2 linked regions of the Macaca mulatta genome follow. The main gene of each other region encodes a partner of the protein of the gene in region 2 in a complex. Links are inferred from orthologs where the notes say so. Each region holds a gene or a part of one and is shown on either strand. Other genes may lie near its edges.

The links. Proteins that work in one complex are often made in the same cells at the same time.
Region 1: the proteins of SRRT (region 2) and NCBP2 are in contact, whole or in part, in a cryo-EM structure (PDB 8PMP), measured with the Homo sapiens proteins. The link is inferred for Macaca mulatta from reciprocal best matches to the Homo sapiens genes SRRT and NCBP2. Residues at the interface, in NP_056992.4 of Homo sapiens: Asp857, Arg859, Ala860, Ile861, Val862, Glu863, Tyr864, Arg865, Ala869, Asp874; in NP_031388.2 of Homo sapiens: Ser48, Phe49, Tyr50, Thr51, Thr52, Glu53, Gln55, Lys67, Met71, Leu73, Met76, Lys77, Lys78, Thr79, Ala80, Tyr89, Asp107, Glu121.

What each region holds. Positions count from the first base shown.
Region 1 is NC_133407.1:2,487,860-2,495,774, reverse strand, and holds the start of NCBP2 (nuclear cap-binding protein subunit 2), read left to right. Parts: upstream 1-3,430; 5' UTR 3,431-3,478; coding exon 3,479-3,556; exon of another isoform or gene 3,557-4,582; intron 4,583-5,762; exon of another isoform or gene 5,763-5,912; intron 5,913-6,505; coding exon 6,506-6,687; exon of another isoform or gene 6,688-6,726; intron 6,727-7,915. Other genes in the region: protein NCBP2AS2, read right to left, coding at 2,963-3,262. UniProt on the Homo sapiens protein: Component of the cap-binding complex (CBC), which binds co-transcriptionally to the 5' cap of pre-mRNAs and is involved in various processes such as pre-mRNA splicing, translation regulation, nonsense-mediated mRNA decay, RNA-mediated gene silencing (RNAi) by microRNAs (miRNAs) and mRNA export.
Region 2 is NC_133408.1:48,082,415-48,090,273, reverse strand, and holds the start of SRRT (serrate RNA effector molecule homolog), read right to left. Parts: upstream 4,313-7,859; 5' UTR 4,135-4,312; intron 3,891-4,134; 5' UTR 3,873-3,890; coding exon 3,751-3,872; intron 1-3,750. Other genes in the region: TRIP6 (thyroid receptor-interacting protein 6), read right to left, coding at 6,448-6,579, 7,011-7,131. UniProt on the Homo sapiens protein: Acts as a mediator between the cap-binding complex (CBC) and the primary microRNAs (miRNAs) processing machinery during cell proliferation.

The sequences.
Region 1 (7,915 bases), on a different chromosome or scaffold from region 2:
GGTCCCCAAAGAACCAGGTGTAAGTGATGACACCTGTCGGTTCCTGCCCTACTGCTTCCAGCCACTGTGATGTTTGAAACATGTAATAGTACCTGGTTGGGAAAAAGAATGAACTGCCAGTGACATTCCCCAGCGACCTCTCCCAAACTTCCCATGATGCCTTGCCCTTGCTGTCATGACAACCTCTGGCTTCCTGAGACCGATCTGCCTATCCAAATAATGTGGAAGTCAGTGTGATGAAGTATAGAGAACAGGTGGCCCAGATCCAGGGGACCCAACTTCTAGCCCCTTGGTCTGTCACCCCCTCGCTGTGTGATCTTGAGAAAGCCCCTTCCACTCTCCCACCCCACTTCCCAGTCTGTTGGGATCAGAGGATCTTTGAGGTGTCTGCCAGCTAACATCGTGTCATTCCTGGAATCCACAGTACACGTCCCCCGTCCTCGACAGGCACAGCTCTCACAAAGCTCTTTAAGCATGGAAGTGGGAGTTGTGTCGTACTTCATGGCCCTCTGATGCCTGCTGTCTCAGTGTTTGCAAACAAGTAATGTTTGAAATATATAATTGCACCTGGAGATTTTCTCCCTACTTTCTTTTACTCCTGTTCCTGAGAGGTGGTGGGAAACTCTCCAGCCATTTCTGCACCTTGTCCTTAAGAGTCATTCTCCTGACTGGGCGTGGTGGCTCACACCTGTAATCCCAGTACTTTGAGAGGCCAAGGCGGGCAGATCTCGAGGTCAGGAGTTGAGACCAGCCTGGCCAACATGGTGAAACCCTGTCTCTACTAAAAATACAAAAATTAGCTGGGTGTGGTGGCGGCGCCTGTGGTCCCAGCTGCTCAGGAGGCTGAGGCAGGAGAATGGCTTGAACCCAGGAGGCGGAGGTTGCAGTGAGCCGAGATCGCGCCACTCACTCCCGCCTGGGAGACACAGCGAGACGGTCTTGGGGGGAAAAAAAAAAAGTCATTCTCCCAGATTAGGGAGCCAGATGTTCTCCCTCCTTAGAAGAACTGTGGGTCTCAAGCCCTCCCATCCTGCCCCAGAGAGCAGGGAACACACCATGCTCAGCTAGTGTCTGGTTACCAGCCTCAATTTTTCCGATGGCTTCAAGCTTCTAGATTGCATGATTATCTGTGTTGCCTAATTAGAAATGATCAGATCTGGGTGTGGTGGCTCACACCAGTAATCCCAGCACTTTGGGAGGCAGAAGCAGGAGAACTGCTTGAGACCAGGAGTTCAGGACCAGCCTGGGAAACAAAATGCAATGCCATTTCAACCATAAAACACAAAACAAAACAAAATTGTGGCTGGGCACGGTGGCTCATGCCTGTAATCCCAGCACTTTGGGAGGCTGAGGCAGGCAGATCACAAGGTCAGGAGATCAAGACCATCCTGACCAACATGGTGAAACTCCATTTCTACTAAAATACAAAAAACTAGCCAGGCATGGTGGCGCACATCTGTAATCCCAGCTGCTCGGGAGGATGAGGCAGGGGAATCACTTGAACCCGGGAGGTGGACGTTGCAGTGAGCCGAGATCACGCCACTGCACTCCAGCCTGGTGACAAAGTAAGACTCTGTCTCAAAAACAAAAACAAAAAAACCTGTTTTTAATTAGCTGCGCATAGTGTCATGGGCCTGTAATCCCAGCTACTTGGGAGACCCAGGGAGGAAGCTCGATCACTTGGCCCAATAGGTCGAGGTTGCAGTGACAGCTAGTATCATGCCACTGCACTCCAGCCTGGGCAAGAGTGAGGCCCTGTCTCAAAATAATAAATAAATAAATCAGAAATTTAGCTAGGAGCTTCAAATGACAAGACATTTGTATATACAGTGGATTTCCTAATCATGGGTCCACTAACTTGCTGGACCATAGTCTTAGTTTCGTATGCCTGACCCTCTAAAATGAGGGATGAGTCCAGGTAGCTCATTCCATGGCAGGCAGCAGTCTTTTTTTATTTTTGAGACAGGTTCTCGCTATGCTGCCCAGGCTGGTCTCATCTCAGGCTCATGCGATCCTCCTTCCTCTGCAGTGGCTTGGATTAGACACAACTGCCACCACGCCTGCTCCTAGGCAGTAGTCTTAATGCCTGATGATGGGGGGTTGGGGAAGGAAGGAAAGTATCAGGGTAAATCTTGCAGAGCTGTGTTAAGGACTTAGGCCCTGGAATCAAATGCCTCTGCTCACATCCCACTCTGCAAGACTTTGGGCAACTTAAGCAGCAGCCTCTGTTTCCATCGGAGTGGCTCTTGCCTCTAATCCCAGCATTTTGGGAGGCTGAGGCAGGACGATCACTCGGACCCAAGAGTTCGAGACTACCCCATCTCTACAAAAAAATCCAAAAAGTAATCTGCTTGCTCATGCGGATGTGGTTGTAAGGAGTAAGCGAAATAACACGCAGAGTGCAATGAGCAAGTCCCAGCACAAAATACTCATTTCATAAAATACGTGTTTATTATTGCCATAGGCCTACAGTCCCCGGTATTCTCAATATATCTTGCCTGAGAAGTATCACACTCATGCCTATTAACCAGCTCATACATTTTTTTAATCAAAAGAATTTGGCAGTTGTAGGGTTGTCTTTTCATTCACATCGTCCCTGGAATTAAGTGTCCTGCTACACCAGTGCAGATTCAGCAGCATCTGTCAAGAGTGTCAGTTCCATCTGCAGAGGAAAGGCTCTCTGGCTTCGGTCCGTGGCTCTCCGCGGGTGCGGTGTCTGGACCCAGCCTATCTTCATCTCTGTTAGGCTTCGGGGTCTTTCTCCACACGGTGTCTTGTCCAATCAAAGGACTTCAGCGGAGCCTGCGGTCTGGCCTAGGCTCTTCTGCGTGGGATGTCTGCAGGCCAACAATCCGAGTCGGGGTTCGAAGCCGCGCGCAGTGCCCGGAACGACCCCTCCACGTCGAGGCCAGTGTAGAGCCCGGAAGGCAAAGTAAAGGCCTCGGCCCCGCACAGCCCAGGCTTAAATGTTTGCGCCAGGGCCCCTCTGGCTACCTGGTGGTGGCCCCGAACGGCCACGGAGGCCGCGGCGTAGCTCCTGGGTGAAGGTGTCTCTGAATCGCCCAGCGCGGCGGCACAGGGAGCCTGCGGGGCCAGCCGCGAGGTCCTGCAGGCGGCGGGCCGCGTCCTGGCCCCGCAGCTGGGCCTGCAGCAGAGCGAAGGCCGTGAGCTGCGCCGCACGTCGGATAGGCCGAGACTCGGACAGGCGTTCCACCAGCTGCGGGCTGTGCAGCAGGGCCGCCAGCAGCCGCCGAAGCACCATCTTCCCCAAGCGCCCGGGAATCCGACCTCGCCGCCCTAGTCTTCCGCCCGGCGGCGCCCGACCCGGACGTCATCTGCGCCCGCGCAGCTTGATGACGACACTGCCGCCCTCGGATTGGGTCCAATGAGATGCGCGCTTCCGCGCGTTTCCGCTTCCGCCACGGCAGACGCCACCTCGTGCCGGGAATCGCCGCGTCCTCGTCCGCTTCTCTGCGCTATGTCGGGTGGCCTCCTGAAGGCGCTGCGCAGCGACTCCTACGTGGAGCTGAGCCAGTACCGGGACCAGCACTTCCGGGTGAGGGAGGCCGGGCCGCGAGAGGGGAAGGCCCTGGGCCAGAACGCTGAGAAACGGTTTGCTCTTGTCTCATTGTGTCGCCTCCCGTTCTGCTGCAATCCCCAAACGCCAAGTGGGGCCCCGGTGCCGGCTGGGGAGGCAGGGAGCGGGTGCTGGGGGGGCGCTTGGACATCACTGAAGCCGCTGGCTCTGGAAGACAGGGCATTTGAGGCTCGCTTTCCTGTTCCCTCCAGCCGCTCCCTGCACCCGAGCCGGTGCCGAGAGGCCTGAGCGCTGATGGTAGTGGCGGCTCCCGTTTCCAGGTTGTACCTCGCAGATGGCTGCGTAACAAGGGCGGGGTGCCCTTCTCTCTCCCAGAGTGTGCAGAGGCGCCTTCTTGATGCAGATTCGGGGCTTTTTACGTTCTTTTTTATTTTTTTTATTTATTTTATTTATTTTTTTTTTTTTTGAGACGGAGTCTCGCTCTGTAGCCCAGGCTGGAGTGCAGTGGCCGGGTCTCAGCTCACTGCAAGCTCCGCCTCCCGGGTTTATGCCATTCTCCTGCCTCAGCCTCCCGAGTAGCTGGGACTACAGGCGCCCACCACCTCGCCCGGCTAGTTTTTCTGTATTTCTTAGTAGAGACGGGGTTTCACTGTGTTAGCCAGGATGGTCTCCATCTCCTGACCTCGTGATCCGCCCATCTCGGCCTCCCAAAGTGCTGGGATTACAGGTGTGAGCCACCGCGCCCGGCCTACGTTCTTTTTTAAATCGGCGAAGCAGTGCCCTTCTCTGGGAGGATGGTCTTAGGGAAGCTGTACGCGGTGCGTGGGAGACACAAGTGAAGTCCTCACTCCGCCCTCGGGGAGGCTTCGGAGTGGGGAGGGGGACCCGCCAAGCTGGGCACTTTGAGGGTGTTTGGATGTGAAGATCGGAGAATTGCTGGATTTCAGAAGAGAGAAATTTTTAGTCCGGACTATATCACAGTATGTTTTGTGGAAAAAGGGGAGGCCGCAGATATACAAAGTAGGCTTTTCAGTATCAGCAAAGGTAGGGATGGAATACGGTTGAGGGGTGGCGGCGCGGGACTCATTAACCCGGTTATTTAGTAAACATTTGTTGAGTGCTGTCACCAAAGCCTTGTGCTAAACCCTGGGGGGAAGGGAAGACAGTTTCTGTACTCTGCGAGCTCATAATCCCCTGTAGTGTGGATTATCAAAGAATCTAAGGTGGAAGTGAGTTAAAAGAGAGGCTGTGAGAATTCAGAAAAAGGGGAGAAATCCCCTTGTGACTGGGAAATGAGGGGGCGCATATAGCAGAGGTCAGTGTGGAGAACGTGTGAAATATGTTACTAGAGTAGGGAAAAGGAAACTTTGACGCCAAATTAGGGAAGCTCTGAAATTTATTCAGTCGAGGCCGGGCACGGTGACTCATGCCTGTAATCCCAGCACTTTGGGAGGCTGAGGCGGGTGGATCACGAGGTTAGGAGATCGAGACCAGACTGGCCGAGATGGTGAAACCCCATCCCTACTAAAAATACAAAAATTAGCCGGGCGTGGTGGCGGCGCCTGTAATCCCAGCTACTCGGAAGGCTGAGGCAGGAGAATTGCTTGATCCCGGAAGGTGGAGGTTGCGGTGAGCCAAGATCGCGCCACCGCACTCCAGCCTGGGCAACAGAGCGAGATTCCTACTTAAAAAAAAAAAAAAAAAAAAAATTCGGTCAATTTATTTTATTTTTTGAGACAGAATCTCGCTCTATTGCCTAGGCTGAAGTGCAGTGGCGCAATCACGGCTCATGCAGCCTCAACCTCCTGAGCCCAAGTGATCCTCCCCACCTCAGCCTCCTGAGAAGCTGGGACCACAGGCTCTCACACTACATCCGGCTAATTTTTTGTAGAGACAGGGTCTCCCTGAGTTGCTCAGGCCGGTCTCAAACTCTGGGACTCAAGCGATCCACCAGCCTGGGCTTCCCAAAGTGCTGGGATTACAGACGTGAACCACTGACCCCGGCCAGTCCAGGTTTTAGATGCTTAAGTGCCAGGCATGATTTGCACTTTTTTTGAGACGGGGTCTGGCTCTGTCACCCAGGCTGGAGTGCAGTAGCACGATCTCGGCTCACTGCAAGCTCCGCCTCCCGGGTTCACGCCATTCTCCTGGCGAGCTGGGACTACAGGCCCCGCCACCACGCCCGGCTAATATTTTTGTTTTTGTTTTTGTTTTTGTTTTTTAGTAGAGACGGGGTTTCACCGTGTTAGCCAGGATGGTCTCGATCTCCTGACCTCGTGATCCGCTCGCCTCGGCCTCCCAAAGTGCTGGGATTACAGGCGTGAGCCGCTGTGCGCGACCCTGATGAGCCATTTTGGATCCAGGGATTTGTCAGGTGTGTTGGATGAAGCCCAGTTATATTCTTATTTCTGGCTTCATCGTGTCATCCCAGTTTGGAAGCCCATTAGGAAAGTGAGCTCTGTTTTGTTTTTAGTGATCACTACATTTTTTTCCTCAATTCAGAAAAAATACATGAGCATGTAAAGCATCAGAGTTGTTGCTTTAAACAGTCTCTATGGGGTTATTAAAAGGGGACTCTCTGGAAATCCACTTATTTCTCACTACAGAGTATAAAAGGGCCCTTTGTCATACATGGGTCAAGGTCCAGAGTTTAACCTTGGTTGAAAGGATGCACTGCTGAGAAGATGGCGTGTGCAGGGAAAAAAGCCGCTTGTGTGGCAGTCTGGCGTAGGGTGACTTTGCTGTATGCGGTATAACTTTTGAGCCTTGTCTCTACTAAGAGTCTGGACTTTGCATAAGTGCTTCACAGGATGTGAACATCTCCCTTTTTTTGAGCAAGGGATTTGTGGTAGGCTGGGATGAGAGAATTTGATTTCCAAATCAGAATTAATGAATGTTTCTACCATACTTAGAAATACTATTTAAGCAAGGCTCTGAAGTTGCTTTTGTCTCTCTTTGAAATTCTAGGGTGACAATGAAGAACAAGAAAAATTACTGAAGAAAAGCTGTACGTTATATGTTGGAAATCTTTCTTTTTACACAACCGAAGAACAAATCTACGAACTCTTCAGCAAAAGTGGTGACATAAAGAAAATCATTATGGGTCTGGATAAAATGAAGAAAACAGCATGTGGATTCTGTTTTGTGGAGTATCCTTCCTGTGGATGGAATGTGGCTGCTGAACTGGGGTAGAGCTGAGAATAGTAGCTCATAATCCTCCCTGCACTTGCCCCTACGTTTTCCCTCGTCTCCCTCCTACCTTCTGTCCAGTGTCACTGCTCTTTTTTTTTTTTGAGACAGAGTCTGGCTCTGTCGCCCAGGCTGGAGCGCAGTGGCCGGATCTGAGCTCACTGCAAGCTCCGCCTCCCGAGCTTACACCATTCTCCTGCCTCAGCCTCCGGAGTAGCTAGGACTGCAGGCGCCCGCCACGTCGCCCGGCTAGTTTTTGTATTTTTTTTTTTTTTTAGTAGAGACGGGGTTTCAACGTGTTAGCCAGGATGGTCTCGATCTCCTGACCTCATGATCCGCCCATCTCGGCCTCCCAAAGTGCTGGGATTACAGGCTTGAGCCACCGCGCCCGGCCGTCACTGCTCTTATACTATAAAGCTGACACTAGTTACATTCTCTCCTGAAATCCATGCTTTATGGTTGTTTAAGAAAAAGTTTTTCAGGCCGGGCGCGGTGGCTCAAGCCTGTAATCCCAGCACTTTGGGAGGCCGAGACGGGCGGATCACGAGGTCAGGAGATCGAGACCATCCTGGCTAACACGGCGAAACCCCGTCTCTACTAAAAAATACAAAAAAAACTAGCCGGGTGAGGTGGCGGGCGCCTGTAGTCCCAGCTACTCGGGAGGCTGAGGCAGGAGAATGGCGTGAACCCGGGAGGCGGAGCTTGCAGTGAGCTGAGATCTGGCCACTGCACTCCAGCCTGGGCGACAGAGCGAGACTCCGTCTCCAAAAAAAAAAGAAAAAGTTTTTCAAGAATGTTTGCCCTTCATTAAAAAAAAAAAAAAAATTCCAAAGAGCACAGTGAAAATAAAAAAACCTTGTACTGTTCTAAACCCCTAATTCCCTTTGCCAGAGGCAGTTACCAGTTTCTTGAGCATCTCTCAAGAAGTAACCTGTGGGTGTGCAGTAGTGTACTTCATGTGCTGTTTTTAAAATCATTTATTATTTATTTATTGTTCCATTTCAGCACATGTAGGTCTGTTTTCAAAATAGCCGTATAGCTGGGCATGGTGGCTCGTATTTGTAGTGCCAGCTACTCAGGAGGCTGAGGCTGGAGGATCAGTTGAGCCCAAGGGTCCAAGGCTACACTGAGTTGTACTGTGCTCCTGCCAGGGTGACAGGGCAAGACCCCATCTTTAAAGAAAAAAAT
Region 2 (7,859 bases):
TTAAAACAAAACATTCCAAAACCTTCATTTTTAAATTACACAGTAAGATGAAATAGATCACATGTTTTTATGAAAAGTGATTATTTTCCAGAAAAATTCTGGTGAGAAAAAGTGGCGTTGTTTTTACATTGTCACCAATCTCTCCAAGTTCTGGCTTTGTAGAGGATAGCTTCTACACTGAAATCTGTTGAGATATTCTGTTCTATTTGAAAAATGAGGCAGGCCGGGCATGATGGCTCACATCTGTAATGAATGCTAGCACTCTGGAAGGCCAAAGCAGGTGGATTGCCTGAGCCCAGGAGTTCAAGACCAGGCTGGGGCAACATGGTCAAACCACCTTTCTACTAAAAATACAGAAATTAGCTGGCTGGCTAGAAGTGGTGGCTCACGCCTGTAATCCCAGCACTCTGGGAGGCCAAGGCGGGCAGATCACTTGAGGTCAGAAGTTTGAGACCAGTCTGGCCAACATGGCAAAACACTGTCTCTGCTAAATACACAAAAATTAGCCAGGGGTGGTGGCAGACACCTGTAATCCCAACTACTTGGGAGGCTGAGGCGGGAGAATCGCTTGAACCCAGGAGGCAGAGGTTGCAGTGAGCCCAGATCATGCCACTATACTCCAGCCTGGGCAACAGAGTGAGACTCCATCTCAAAAAAAAAAAAAAGAAAGAAAAAAAAAATTAGCTGGGTGTGGTGGCATACACTTGTAGTCCCAACTAATCAGGAGGCTGAGATGGGAGGATCACCTGAGCCTGGGGAAGTCAAGGCTGCAGTGACCCACGGCCATGATTGTGCCACTGCACTCCAACCTGGGCAACAGAGTAACACCCCGTTTTAAAAAAAAAAAAAAAACAGATAATCAGGCCTCACACTAATAAGGAGTTGAAAAAGCCTTTTCAGATTAACTGTAGACATTCATTTTGGATACTACGCAAAATTCAACAAGAAATAGGTTCTTTTTTATCTTTTCTTTATGCTACCTTGTCCAAGACGGAAGTAGTTTCTCACAGGCTAGTTAGAACCTTCAATCTGAAATAGTATCAGTGAATATTTCTTTCTCTGCTACATTAAAATGCACTCTTCTATCTTGCCCTTTGAATGGACTTTGATATGTCTCACACAATATCAAAATGTATGCATCAGCATCACTGCCTATCTCACCAAAAAAGTCTTTACTTAATGGGAAGCTGTCAAGCTCACATTAGTAGATAGAAGTTTTCCAAAATTTTAATTTCCTTTTTTTTTTTAGACAAGGTATTTCTCTGTTGCCCAAGCTGGAGTGCAGTGGTGCAATCAAGGCTCACTCTCACCTCGACCTCCCAGGCTCAAGCCATCCTCCCGCCTCAGCCTCCTGAGTAGCTGGGACTACAGGCATGTGCCACCACCCCCAGCTAATTTTTGTATTTTTTTGTACCGACAGATTTCACCACATTGCCCAGGTTGTTCTCAAATTCCTGGGCTCAAGCAATCCACCCACCTTCTCCTCCCAAAGTGTTGGTATTACAGGCATGAGCCACTGCGTCGGCCCAAAATTTTAATTTTCACTGGAAAGTGCTACTTCATCACTGGCAACAAATACTGACAGCTTACACTGAAGTAACAGGTTCTCAGTTCATTTTCAAGATGTCTGCCAAATACCCAAGTATGAACAATCACTATTTGTCATTCATTCAAGTAAAAATAATGTCCCATGGAAAAAAGCTGTTAGTTCAGCTCACTCAATCACATGCATACTCTTGCTCAAGAAAACTAATGCAGGCCTGTAATCCTAGCACTTTGAGAGGCCGAAGCACTTGAGGTCAGGAGTCCCAGCTACTCGAGAGGCTGAGGCAGGAGAAGCGCCTGAACCGGGGAGGTGGAGGCTGCAGTGAGCTGACATTGCACCACTGCACTCCAGCCTGGGCAACAGAGAGAGATTTTATGTCAAAAACAAAGACGTACAGTCAAGAGTCCAATTTAATCAAATTAAATGTTTTACTCTTTCATCAAGAACCATTGATAGAACTGGCATTTTTTTTTTTTTTGAGACGTAGTCTTGCTCTGTCGCCAGGCGGGAGTGCAGTGGTACGATCTCGGCTCACTGCAACCTCTGCCTCCCAGGTTCAAGTGATTCTCCTGTCTCAGCCTTCCGAGTAGCTGGGACTACATGCGCATACCACGGCACCTGGCTAACTTTTTCTATTTTTAGTAGAGATGGGGTTTCACAATGTTGGCCAGGATAGTCTCGATCTCTTGACCTCATGATCTGCCCATCTTGGCCTCCCAAAGTACTGGGATTACAGGTATAAGCCACCGCGCCCAGCTGGCTTTTTCTTTTTTTTTTTTAAACTCTTTGCTGTCACTGCCTTGATGTTTGCTAAAGCATCAGCAGTTTTACCCACCACTGCTATGGCACCATCAGTGGAAATGGCAATAATATGTAAACATTAGCACAAAAAATAATTTTAGCCTCGGAGACTCCCTATGGTCTGCGGACATCCTGAGAAACAGGACTCTAACCAAACTAGAATATGCTAAAAGCACACATTATGTCCACAACTCCAAGCTGTTCGTGTCACTCGTGTCTGGGGAATTCCCACTTATCTTTCTAAGTCTAGCTAAGTGTCACTTTCCAGTGGGTCCCTGACACACCCCCTCCAGCACCGCTCCCCTCCTTTAGAGATCTGTTCCCTTAATGCTTATCCTCTTTATAACTTCCGCTATGTATTCTCATTTACAGAATACATCCATGGCCATTCTGAACCCCCAGGCCAAGCCCACACTGTAACATCCTCAGGTCAATAACCACATCTTATAATCAATCAATCCAATCAGCACCACCCAATAAACTCTGAGATTTTAGGCAAAACAGTGACAAAAAACCTAATCATATATTGTCAGGGAAATAGTCTGACAACCTCTCCAGTCAGATCAACTCTATATTATTATTTTTCTGAAGCAATCTTCCTAAAATATAATTTACAACCTGGGCAACAGAGCAAGACTCTGTCTCTACAAAAAATAATTTTAGACCAGGTACTGTGGCTCATGCCTGTAATCCCAGCACTTTGGGAGGCTAAGCTGGGTGAATCACCTGAAGTCAGGAGTTCCAAACCAGCCTGGCCAACATGGTGAAACCCCGTCTCTACTAAAAATACAAAAATTAGCCAGGTGTGGTGGCGGGTGCCTGCAATCCCAGCTACTCGGGAGGCTGAGGCAGGAGAATTACTTGAACCCCAGAGGCGGAGGCTGCAGTGAACCAAGACTGCGCCACGGCACTCCAGGCTAGCCGACAGAGCGAGACCCTGTCTCGAAATAATAATAACAATTTTTAAAAGTTAGCCAGGAGTGATGGCCTCCCCCTGTACTCCCAACTGCTCAGGAGGCTGAGGCAGGAGGATCGGTTGAGCTCAGGAGGTGGAAGCTGCTATGACTGCACCACAATGCACTCCAGCCAGGGCAGAACAAGACCCCATCTCCATAACAAAACAAAAAGAAAGCAAAAAAGCACGTTTTTCGTGCATGTATAAACAGTGCTTCTTCATTCTCAAACTCTTAGCTCTATTGCTCTGATCTGCTGAGAATTTAAAAAACCAAGCCACACAGCTAGTTACTTGGCCAACAACAAATAGGCTGAACAACAGCAAACGATCCAATGAGCCATTTCATAGGGTTCGCCCTCATAAAAATTACAAGGGGGAAAAAGAAAAGCGACGCGGGTGGCGTGAAACGGCATTAAATGGGGACAAGAAGAAGTTAAAAACGGCTCACCTGTCATTCCAATCGTCCCCTCGACGTCTTTCATCTCTCTCGCGGGAACGGTCGTAGTCGCTGCGCTCTCTTCTGAACTTGTCTCTGCGCCTTCGATCGTACTCGTCATCACTGTCACCCATGGCGCGGTCTGAGGGGGCCTGGGGACCGGGGAGGGGCGGTCAGGGTGGTGCAAAAGGACAAGCGGAGGAAGAGATCGTCCCTCGCGGGCACCTCGCCCGCTTCCCTCCCGTCAAGGCCAGCCCTCCGCGGCCCCCACCATCCTGGGCCTCAGGACGCGGCTCCAATGCTTCCACTCGCCCCGAGGGTCTCCCAGCACGCCCCCGTGGCCCCCGGTTCCTCTCGCGCCCCAGCGGGGCCCCCCAGGCTCCTCCCCTCCCCCACCTGGGAGCGGCCGCGGCCGTTGGACTCGCGCTCGGACGGGCTGGATTTCAGGGCGACCTGGGCCGCGGGCGCGCGACGAGGACGACGAGGAGGGCGAGACGAAGACGGAGCTCTTGGTTACAGGGCCAAAGAGAGGGGAACAAAAGTGGGACAACCAAGGATGGGCGGTAGCGAGCGCGGCCCGCGTTGCGCCTGCGTCACCCACGCCTCCGAGGCACAAAGCTCCCCCCTCGCGGCCCGAACTGGAACTAACGAACCGAGCGCGATGGGCGGGGAGAGCAGGGCGTGACGGGAAAGGGGCGGGGTTCTCGCAAGTCTCGCGCGGTTTTTCGAGACGAGAATGGCTAGAGTTTTAGGAACTACGGGAACTCGGCTGGGCCAAGCGCGGCCTCGGGGGGCGAAGGCGCTCTCTGGGCGCGAAGGGAGAGCTTCCGAGGGCCGAAGTCGAGGATCGCGCGACCCCGGATGTGTAGGGGGGTCTGAGCCAGTCCTCATCCAGCCGTGTTCCCCCTACGGGCCTCCTGACCTCACCGGGGGGGTTTCGTCCTCTCCTCGGGCAGGACGTGGACTTGGGAAGCGCGTTTAGGGGATGGAAGATGGAAGCAACCATTTTAAAGCATCGTCTCCCACCATTTTCTGCTCCAAATATCCAGCCAAAAGTGGGTGCCACAGTGCGCACTAAATGCAAAGTCCGCCATTCCTGATCTTCCTCGACAAAAACGCCCCATCTTTAAGGAAAATTGGTAGATCTCAGTTTTAACCCCACTCAGTACTTGGATGATATAGGCTGTAAGTTAAGGCCCGAAACAGTATGGACCGCCCACATTCAGTGGACTGCCACGCCCGGGAGTAACACCAAGGCCCCTCTCAGAATTGAGTGTGAGACCTAATAGGAAGGCCAGCTGAGGTGACTCACGCCTGCAGTCCCAGCGCTTTGGGAGGCCGAGGTGGGAGGATCACTTGAGCCCAGGAGTTGAAGACCTGTGTGGGCAACATAGCAAGACCCCTTTACAGAATATTTAGGGCCAGGCACAGTGGCTCACACCTGTGATCCCAGCACTTGGGAAGGTTGAGGAGGGAGGACTTGAGCCCAAGAGTTCAGGACTAGCCTGGGCAACATAGCAAGATCCCATCTACGCACAAAAAAATAACAACTGGGCTTGGTAGGATGCCCCTGTGGTCCTAGCTACTGGGGAGGCTAAGCTAGGAGGACTGTTTGAGCCGAGGAGTTCAGGGCTGCCTTGAATTTCACCACTGCACTCTAGCCTGGGGAACAGAGTGAGACCCTGTCTCAAAATAGATACATATAGGAAATCTTGCCTCCTCCCTAAGGCATGCTTGCTCCCAGCACTGAGAGGTGGGTAGTGACAGATTACAAGAGTTGTCCAAAAAAACTGGACCTGAGCCAAAAAGACCCAGGTTCCACCATTTAAGAACCATGCAATCTGGGGGAGTCACTCTCCTCTGGCATCCTCACATGTAAAAATGCAGACAGTGGCTGGGCGCGGTGGCTCACGCCTGTAATCCCGACACTTTGGGAGGCCGAAGCGGGCAGATCACTTGAGGTCAGGAGTTTGAGACCAGCCTGACCAACGTGGTGAAACTCCATCTCTACCAAAAATACAAAAATTGGCTGGGCGCGGTGGCTCACACCTGTAATCCCAGCACTTTGGGAGGCCGAGGTGGGTGGATCACGATGGTCAAGACCATCCTAGCTAACACAGTGAAATCCTGTCTCTACTAAAAATACAAAAAATTAGCTGGGCATGGTGGTGGGTGCCTATAGTCCCAGCTACCCGGGAGGCTGAGGCAGGAGAATGGTGTGAACCTGGGAGGCGGAGCTTCCAGTGAGCCGAGATTGTACCACTGTACTCCAGCCTGGGTGACAGAGCAAGACTCCATCTCAAAAAAATAAACAAATAATTAGCCAGGCATGGTGGCAGGCGCCTGTAAACCCCGCTATTCGAGAAGCTGAGGCAAGAGAATCACTTGAACCCGGGAGGCGGAGGTTGCAGTGAGCCAAGATGGCATCACTGCACTCCAGCCTAGGTGACAGAGCCAGACTCCGTCTCAAAAAAAAAAGAAAAAAAATGCAGGTAGTAACAACAACTGGGCTTGTAATGGGCTACTGGGAGAATCAGATAAGACAGCAGACTTGGAAGTGTTTTGTAAACTCGAGGGATTATTATTTCTTGATTGGAGAAAGAGGAGACAGCATTTGGTGATGAAGTCATACAGGTGGATGTCAGGGAGGGTGATCAATCGAAGGATGGGAACTGGAACTGAGAACCCAGCAGGTACTTCTAGGAAGACTCAGCAGTCAGTGGTGACGGTGGCTGAGAGCTCCTGGATGCGCCAGGCGCTGCAGGCCTTGCATAAGATGTGCCCATCCAGCGGGTAGCAGCCCTGACACTCGCCCTCAGAGGAGAGCAGCAGCCCACACTCCTGTTGAAAAAGAAGCAACAATTGGCCGGGTGCGGTGGCTCACACCTGTAATCCCAGCACTTTGAGAAGCCGAGGCGGGTGGATCACAAGGTCAGGAGTTCGAGACCAGCCTGGCCAATATGGTGAAACCCTGTCTCTACTAATACAAAAATCAGCCAGGCGTGGTGGCCAGCACCTGTCATCCCAGCTACTCAGGAGGCTGAGGCAGGAGACTTGCCTGAACCCGGGAGGTGGAGGTTGCAGTGAGCCAAGATCGTGTCACTGCACTCCAGCCTGGGCCACAGATCGAGACTCCATCTCAAAAAAAAAAAAAGAAAGAAAGAAAGAAGCAACAGATTTCCATCAGCCCCAGATCTCTGTGTTCCCCGTCTCGTGCTCTACCCAGCACCGCAGACACTGCCAGCCCCTTGCACGTGCTGGGGGCCCCTGACCTCACACTTGTAACAGCCAATGTGAAAACTTCGATCCAGAGCAACAATTCTCACAGTCTCCTCCTGACCTGGCTCAGGCATTATGGCCCCACCGCACACTGAGCATCTTGGGGCAAACTTCCTGCGGGGGAAGAGAACCAAGAAGGCCATCAAGCCTTGGGGTTGCAGGGCACCAACAATGGAACCCAGAGAAGGTGGGGCATAGGAGGGATTCAGGGAGGCCAGAGGTATGACCTTAGGTCTTGGGGAAGGGATGATGTCAAAGAGAATGAGAGAGGCTAGGTGCAGTGGCTCTAGCCTGTAATGCCCCCACTTTGGGAGGCCAAGGCAGGAGGATTACTTGATGCCAGGCGTTCAAGACCAGCCTAGGCAACACAGCAAGACCATGTCTTTATTAAAAAACAGAAGAAGACTGGGTGCAGTGGCTCACGCCTGCAATCCCTGCACTTTGGGTGGCCGAGGCAGGTGGATCGCTTGAGCTCAGGAGTTTGAGACCAGCTTGGCCAACATGATGAAACCCTGTCTCTACAAAAAATACAAAAAAAAAAAAAATTAGCAAGGCGTGGTAGCACACGCCTGTAATCCCAGCTACTCAGGAGGCTGAGGCAGGTGAATCACTTGAACCCAGGAGGCAGAGGTTGCAGTGAGCTGAGATCCTGCCACTGCACTCCAGCTTGGGTGACAGAGCGAGACTCCATCTCAAAAAAAAAAAAAAAAAAAGCTAACAAAAAACGAAGAAAACTAGCCAGGCATGGTGGCGTGTGCACCTGTAGTCCCAGATACTCAGGAGGCTGAGGTGGGAGGATCACTTGAGCCCAGGAGTTGGAGGCTGCAGTGAGCTATGATCAT